2 linked regions of the Macaca mulatta genome follow. The protein of the gene in region 2 purifies or fractionates together with the protein of the main gene of each other region. This does not show direct contact. Links are inferred from orthologs where the notes say so. Each region holds a gene or a part of one and is shown on either strand. Other genes may lie near its edges.

Region 1 (3,811 bases), on a different chromosome or scaffold from region 2:
CTCCTATGCTAGGATGGAGAACCCTGCGGAATACACCTTATTCATCTTATATCCAACACAGTGCCCACAGTGCCTCGCACATAGCAAATATACAAAACATTTGTGGAATTAAGTTATTTTCTTAAAACAGGTTCTTAAAATGTTTTGGTTTCAGGACCCCTTTATATGCTTAAATATTAAGGATCTCAAAGAGCTTTTCTTTTTGTGGGTTATATCTTTAATGCATTAGAAATTAAAACGAGAAACATAAAAGTTGCGATTAGTCCATGTAAAAATAAAATACCATGCCATTATTAAAAACAACATTCTTGTAAAAAAAAAAAAAAAAACTAGTTTCCAAAACAAAAATATATTTGTGAGAAGAGTGGCACTGTTTCACACTTTTACAAATCTCCTGAATGCCTACCTTGACAGAAGACAGCTAGATTATTATAGCTTACTCTGCATTACATCTATTGTGGTATGTTCTTCTGGTTGAGATAAATGAAAAAAAAAAACCTTGTTTCACACATATGTGTAGCACTACTTTGATCGCTTTGGATCACTGTGGAAACTCCTCCTCAATACCACACCAAAACTGACTTTTCAGTTCTGGCCAAAACTGGTAGTAGTTTTCTAAAGGTTGGTTGCAGAGCAAAATCTGAAACTTTACCATTAAACTTTTTGTACCCTGCTACATTAAAATCCATTTGTCTGTCTTGTACTTTGAATGACTCTTTTACTCATGCATGCTTTTGTAGGATCATACTTAAGACCTTTCAAATGTGACAGGCTTGCTTCATTCACTTAAAAACATGGCTGGGTGATGTGGCACACAACTGTAGTCCCAGCTACTCAGGAGCCTGAGGCAGAAGAATCACTTGAGCCCAGGAGTTTGAGTCCAACCTGAACAACACAGCAAGACTCTGTCTCTGAAAAATTTAAGAAAAAAGATTAAAAAAAAAAAAAAAAAAAAAAAGACTGCCAAAGACCTGAGTGTGGGTAACTGTGTTAATGATTCTTTCAAGTAAAACCTATTCCATGGCTGGTGTGGTGGCTCACACCTGTAATCCCAGTACCTTGGGAGGCCGAGGCCGAGGCGGTGGATCGCCTGAGGTCAGGAATTCGAGACCAGCCTGGCCAACATGATGAAACCTCGTCTCTACTAAAAATACAAAAATTAGTTGGGCATGGTGGCAGGTACCTGTAATCCCAGCTACTCCAGAGGCTGAGGCAGGACAATTGCTTGAACCCAAGAGGTGGAGGCTGTAGTGAGCTGAGACTGCACCACTGCACTCCAGCCAGGGGACTCCGTCTCAAAAAAAAACAAACGAACAAAAGAAAAAAAACAAGAAACAAAAAAAGTATTCCATGATAAAAAGTGACTAGCTAGCTTATAACTCAAAACAATATGCTTTTTCTCAAGAAAATTACCATACTTCGACAAGAAACTGAAGTGCTTTATGTGGATTTCCTATTTTGTCAAATTATTAAGATGATGTGTACCGAAAAGTCAAGATGTAATAAAACTAATAATTTTAATGTTTCATCAAGAACATCCGTTTTTTAAAAAGCATTTTGGAGAAATAGAGTCTAGCTGTGTTGCCCAGGTGGGTCTCTAATTCCTGGCCTCAAGAGATTCCCTCCACCTCAGCCTCCCAAAGTGCTGGAATTACAGATGTGAGCTACCACACCAGGTCGAGAATATTCTTTCTTTCTTTCTTTCTTTTAATTGAGACACAGTCTCGCACTGTTGCATGGGTTGGAATGCAATGGCGCAATCTCGGCTCACAGCAACCTCCACCTCCTGGGTTCAAGCAATTCTTCTGCCTCGGTCTCCCAACTAGCTGGGATTAAAGGCACCTACCACCACGTCTGGCGAATTTTTTGTGTTTTTAGTAGAGACAGGGTTTCACTCTATTGGTCAGGCTGGTCTTGAACTCCTGACCTCGTGATCTGCCCTCCTTGGCCTCCCAAAATGCTGGGATTACAGGTGTGGTTAAGTAAAACTAGCATTTCTTAAACTGCAAGGGTGTGGTGGTGAGGAATCCAGCAAGTATCTGTGGAATTTGTACCACCGCCCCGACTTGTGTAAAGGCTCTAGCAGTTTAATCCACCACTGTTTCTGGACCATCTGTACTAATATCAATACAGTGGAAAAGGCTCTCAGGATCCTGTGAGGTTCACACACCACACTTTCAAAACTGCTTCTCTAAAACAGAGTTACTGCCAATTGTGATATCTTTTGAAATACCAATTGCACTCTTCTTCAGAAAGACAAAAGTTCTTTTGGCTTTAAATATCAAGAACCAAACAAGTTAAGGGGAGGTGACTAATGCAGTGCATACTTCAATAACAGACAGGGCCAATTTCCATACCTGACACTGAGAGGGGACTCCACGGAGAGCCCCAGGAGGGCACAAGCATCCCGTGTAAAGATGTCACAGATATCAGCCCACTGGTTTGCATCAAGTAGGTGAACATACGGTGAGTTCTCAATCCCTTGTCTCAGGTACACAAGGCTTCCCATCAAAACCTGAATGTCTAAAAAAAGTACCAGCAAGAAAGCATTAGTTTGCTTGCAGTAATAAGCTGCGAAAAGCAAGAATACCCCCACCCATACTGATACAGCCTAAAATAATGTATTAACAGGTCTTTAAAATTCTGGTCCTTAAGCTGGGTTTCTTCCTTCATCTTAAACAGCATGGAGAGAAAAGGAAAGGAGTGAAAATACTGAACTTATAATTTAAATTCTTATATACAGCATAGTATAATTACCATTACCTACAGGAGTAACAATTATGTCATCACATTATCTCTGATTGCAGAGTTAATGTATTCCTACACAAATACGTGGGGTTAACATTTGCTGCCTTGGCTCTCTGACACTTTGTTGTGGCAAAACAAGCAGCACACAGCCAGGTTGGGGTAGACGAGAGCAAGTGCACACCTTGCTCTTTCTCAGATCTCCTCTCAGTTTAATATGGAATTCCAAAATCTGCAACATCTCTGACTTCTAAGAGGCTTTAATATTTTTGTTTTTGTTCTAGAGCCAGTCAGAGCTTTTCCTGTGATTATCAACTACAACTGTTTACTGGCAAACATGTATTAGCTCTAGATAAGAACCATTAAGTTGGGCTGGGCGCGGCGACTCACGCCTGTAATCACAGCACTTTGGGAGGCTGAGGCGGGTGGATCATGAGGTCAGGAGATCCAGACCATCCTGGCTGACACAGTGAAACCCCATCTCTACTAAAAATACAAAAAATTAGCCAGGCATGGTGGCGGGCACCTATAGTCCCAGCTACTCGGGAGGCTGAGGCAGGAGAATGGCGTGAACCCGGGAGGTGGAGCTTGCAGTGAGCCGAGATCGCGCCACGGCACTCCAGCCTCGGGGACAGAGCGAGACTGCGTCTCAAAAACAAAAAACAAAAACAAAAAACAAAACAAACAAATAAGAACCGTTAAGTTATAGTGGTGGCTATAGCCCTGTTTCAAACATTAATAACATCTGACTCCAGACTCACCTTTTTGATGATTCAGGGCAAATGGCTGAAAATTTTTAGCATACTGTAATGCCTCTCGTTGATTTGTGGTTCCACCCATTAACAAGCTAATAAAGTACAGTCTGTGTAGCTTAAATTCCAAGGAGCTGTTTTGAGCTATAAGCATTTCCCGGTTTGATACTGCCCACCTAAAGAAAAGGCAAAAAAAAACTTTAAGAATAATCAAAAGCATAAGCAATGTGTCTTAAAAACTATTTGAAACGCAGTAAACAAACAGTTTAACAACGCAGTACCTGTAACGCAGTAAAACAAAACGCAGTAAAACA
Region 2 (4,310 bases):
ATAACAAAATTTCTGGAAGAACAAAATCTGTTCTGGAAGAAATAATGATTTATGTTTATAAAAGTTATGTTCCCAGAAAGTGAATCTTAGTATTACACAACAGAAAGTAATAAAGAGGCCAAGAATAAAAACAATTGAGACAGCAGTGTCAGGAATGTAGCAGTGTCAGAAATATTTCAAACTCCAACTAATTTCACATAAACATATATTTTTCTCTGACCTAAATCATGAATCTTATGTAAAAGACTAAAACTAATCAAGACACCTTACAGTACTAAATAAACAGTAATCACGAATCGTAGACATCACGGAAATTCAGAGCTGTAAATTTCCCTACCAATCTTCCAGCTCAACTTACACATCACTCAGAGGAAGAAACTGAGGCCCAGTCTTGTAAAATATCCACAACCACAAACGACTGCAGAACTCAGGAAATCTAGGATTCTTTGTTCATCTATACTGGCTCTGATTTTATGAGCAAATTACTGTCAACCATAAATTTAAAATTATAAAATTCTGTCACATCTAACAATAGCTTTCTGGCAGCCAGATCAGAAGTAAACACTTCATAACATAGCACCGTTCACACAAATTAAAACATAAAAGTAGAAATATTTCACAAGGAAATTAACAAAATGTCCTAACTTAAGATAAAACAAAGATTTGATATTGTGAATGAAATGTTTAGACGTTTAGATTAAGGAAGATAACACTTAGAAGTACTTCTTTGGATGTATGCAAGAATTAAAAAATGTTCAAGGCCTATTTTTGTGCGTGATTCTTTGCAGCCAAATCATTTGGTAGATTTGTATTGCCATTCGCCTTTCTGGTTAAATAGTAACTTACTTATCAAGCTTCTTCTTAAATTTTAGTCCCATATAAGAATTTAACCACAAGGTTGTTTATCCCCTCTACATACATGTCACTAGGATCTGAGCAGACCCCTTTGTAGCCAATCAAAGTGAGGCTGCCGTGAATGTAAAAAGCTCCTGCTTTAGATTTGGGGCCTAAAACCCTGGATTTGTTTCCAGACAGACTGATACGTTAGATTGATTTTTTTTTTTCTTCCACACAAGTAAACTTGATACACGCTATTAAATTGGGCCACATTTCAATAGTTCCCATAGCAATTCATAATTTTATATACAACTGATTTGCTTCAAGCTTTGTTTTAACCTAGGAGAGGTAGGTGAGGAAGGAAGGGGGCAAGCACAAACCTAAGGTTGTTGTTTTTAACTGCAGGTGGAAAACATAAGCCAATTTTCTTCAAAATACTAAGCTGCATTTTGTTCCATCTTCGTTTTCAACAAGGCTTCATATAACATCAACACCTAAGGACCTGTATAGAGTACTTCCAATCGGGAGAGGTAGGTTTCTGCTCCCCTAAGAAAAATGGTGCTCCTGGGGTTCCCTTCTCTTACCCTCCCGGTTGCTTTCACTAAGATATACTGATGGCAAACTTGGGTCCCTTGTCCTTTAGTCCCCCTAGACAATCTCTGGCCTAATTTTGATTACTCCTCCCCCTGCGTATCCCTGCTCTCTCTTAATTAGAAATCATACCTCAGAATCGTGCCTCTCTTCCCTCCTTGTAAGAGGAGAACGCCTGACCCACCACCTGGAGAACAATGTAACCCAACTCCGAGTCCATGGATTCCTCTACCCAAGCCCCAAGATTTATCTCCCAGGGAAATCAGAAAGCCAGTTCTGTCCTGTCATCCCGGATTCCCTCAAGGTGTCCTGCTCCTGGCCTAAGATTACCAGCTCCTTCCTACCCTGGAGCATTCTACTCACCCTCCTCTTCCAAGAATCTCGCCCCTCACCCTCGGATCCTTCACCGCGACCCCCGCGCCCACCCGGAGCAGCACAACAAGCGGCGAGTGGCCTCCGAGGGCAGAGCCCGCGAGGGCGGGGGTCGGGGGAGGTCGGGGGCGGGTCGAGAGCGGCGCAGCGGTGGCCGGCCACGTCGGGTCAGTGCCCCACTCCCACGGCAGGACACAAGCCCAGTACCTTTGTAGTGCACCCGCAGGTTGTTCTGAGAGAGGCCGATGTAGCTGAACTTGTCCTTCGGGCTCCAGGACCGAGGCAGCGGCGTCTCCTGCTCGTCCACGGCTGGGTAGAGGCGCTTCAGCCGCCGCTGCAGCTCCTTCTCCTGCTCGTTCAGGGTCGAGTCCCCGTGCGGGAAGGGGGCCGCGGCGCTGCTGCCCGCCACCAGAGCTGGGGCCGGGGCGCCTCCGGCCGGGCCGGGGCCCGCGGCGAGGCCCGGAGGCGCTGGGGGCCCGCTGGCGGGGGCGGCCGCTGAGGCAGGTGGCGGCGGGGGCGGCGGCGGGGGCGGCGGGGCCGCGGTGGCCGGGGGCGGCGGCGGCGGGGGGTGGAGGAGCAGGGCGGCCGCCGCGGCCCCTAAGCCGTCGCCGCCCGCGCCGCCGCCGGGCGAGCCGGCTGGAGAGGAGCCGGCGCTGACGGCCGGGGGCGCCGGCAGGACGACTCCGGACACTGGAGCCAAGGCCGCCGGCGGTGGCGGCGACAACTGCTGCTGCTGTTGTTGCTGCTGCTGCTGCGGCGGCGGCGGCGGCGGCGGCTGCCCGGACATCCCGGCCGCGACTCAGCCTGCGGCCACCTCCACCTCTTCTCTCCTTCCTCCTCTGCTTCCCGGGGGCGCTGTCGCTGCGGCCGCCGGCACCAGGCGCCCAGTCCGCCCGCCCCGGAAGCAGGCGGCGGGCCGCGCGCCCAGGGAGACCGCGGCGGTTGAGGGGCTCGGAGACGCGGGAGTGGGCGGCGGGCCCGGGAGGCCGGGAGAGAACGTTGGCCGGAGCGCGGGCGCGCGGCCCGGGGACGAGGTGCCGAGGGCGGGGGCGACGCGGTAGCGCGGGAGGGGAAGGCGCGCTGGCGGCCGCCGCGGCCGCTGCTCTCGCGGCTGTTTCCCGGCGGGCGGGCCCGGCCGGCGCGAGACGCTGCGCGCGGGCGGTGCTAGGCGAGGGGGCGGGACGGAGGCGCGAGAGAGGCGCGAGCTGCGCGAGGGGCGGGCCGCGGGGCTCCCGGCTGCACGCCGCGAGGCGCCCTCCCGGACCCGCCAGTCGCTCGTGGGCAGGATCGCTGGGCTCCCGGCGCCGCAGGTCCCTTCGGAGATGTCCGCCTCCTCCCGCTAGGCGGCCGCCGTCTCCCCCCTCGCCGGCGAATCCCCTCCCACTTGACTTCTTTTTGTTGTCGTCGCCCCACCTCCCCACCGTAGGGCTCCTCCGAGCCGAGACGCCGCTTCTCGCCCAGGCGAGAGTAATCGAGCCCCGCTGGGGCCGCCGCGAGCCCGGGCCCCGGGTCGCTCTAGGACCCGTCGGCTCGGGGCGTGCGGAGCGGCTGAGGCTCCCCGCGCACTGCCGCTAGCTCTCTTCTCAGTCCGGTTCCCGTTTGCCGCCTCCCTCCAAAGAGGAACGCACTGCCTTTGGTACTTCACAGTGTTTAATTTCGTAACATTGACCATATGGGCAGGGGAAACCACTTCTGAAGGCAGTCTCCCAGTTAAAATAGTGGCTATTTCATTAATTAATTTTACGAGGACTCACAGTGAACTTAGTGGTAGAAGGTGTCATTAATAAAAACCGGCATATCTTCAAATACCAGGAGCAGGCACTGTATGAATACACAATTATAGTGTGTGTTTAGGAAGGGCTTCTAGAGACGTCAGAACATTTTATAGACTCGTTAATTTTCATAACTGTTCTTAGGTAACAGAAAATTATGCCCATTTTTAAAACAAGGAAATATTTACTGAGGTCAGCAGAGTCAAAAATAGGACTTCCTACTTTGCAATTCCCAATAGAGTGCTTCGTCGACTAATTTGGCACAACTTGCCAAGTGTTGCTCTCTGACCCATCATAACATTACTACTTTGTTTTCACCACTTCCCTTTGTTTAGCGTATCCCTCCCTAGCTGGCAAAATCGGGCTTTGCATGTGTAAATTATATGATGTAAATTCTGATATTTTGTTTGCTTCCAAAGATACGATGGTAATCATTTGGTCAAATAAATGTTTTGCCGAAGAGAAAATTATTTCGTTTTGAAGAAGGTAGGCCAAAGGTGATTTAATTTAAGGCCAACATTATCTGGCCAGAACAAATAACAGTCATTCGGCCTAATTTCTCCCTCAGTTACCCAGACAACTAGATGTTCTGTTGTACTTTATTATTATTATTATTGTTTTTGAGAGAGAGTCTCGCTCTGTTGTCCAGGCTGGAGTGCAGTGGCGTGGTCTCAGCTCACTACAACCTCCGCCTCCCGGGTTCAAGCGATTCTCCCGCCTCAGCCTCCCAAGTAGCTG

Evidence for each region.
Region 1: the proteins of RANBP9 (region 2) and RMND5A purify together in Homo sapiens (affinity purification with mass spectrometry; 9 studies listed by BioGRID and IntAct, counting the BioPlex papers as one, with this or other methods). This does not show direct contact. The link is inferred for Macaca mulatta from reciprocal best matches to the Homo sapiens genes RANBP9 and RMND5A.

Annotation. Positions count from the first base shown.
Region 1 is NC_133418.1:26,269,352-26,273,162, forward strand, and holds part of RMND5A (E3 ubiquitin-protein transferase RMND5A), read right to left. Parts: intron 3,674-3,811; coding exon 3,507-3,673; intron 2,524-3,506; coding exon 2,358-2,523; intron 1-2,357.
Region 2 is NC_133409.1:169,400,921-169,405,230, reverse strand, and holds the start of RANBP9 (ran-binding protein 9), read right to left. Parts: upstream 2,918-4,310; 5' UTR 2,588-2,917; coding exon 2,008-2,587; intron 1-2,007. UniProt on the Homo sapiens protein: May act as scaffolding protein, and as adapter protein to couple membrane receptors to intracellular signaling pathways. Acts as a mediator of cell spreading and actin cytoskeleton rearrangement.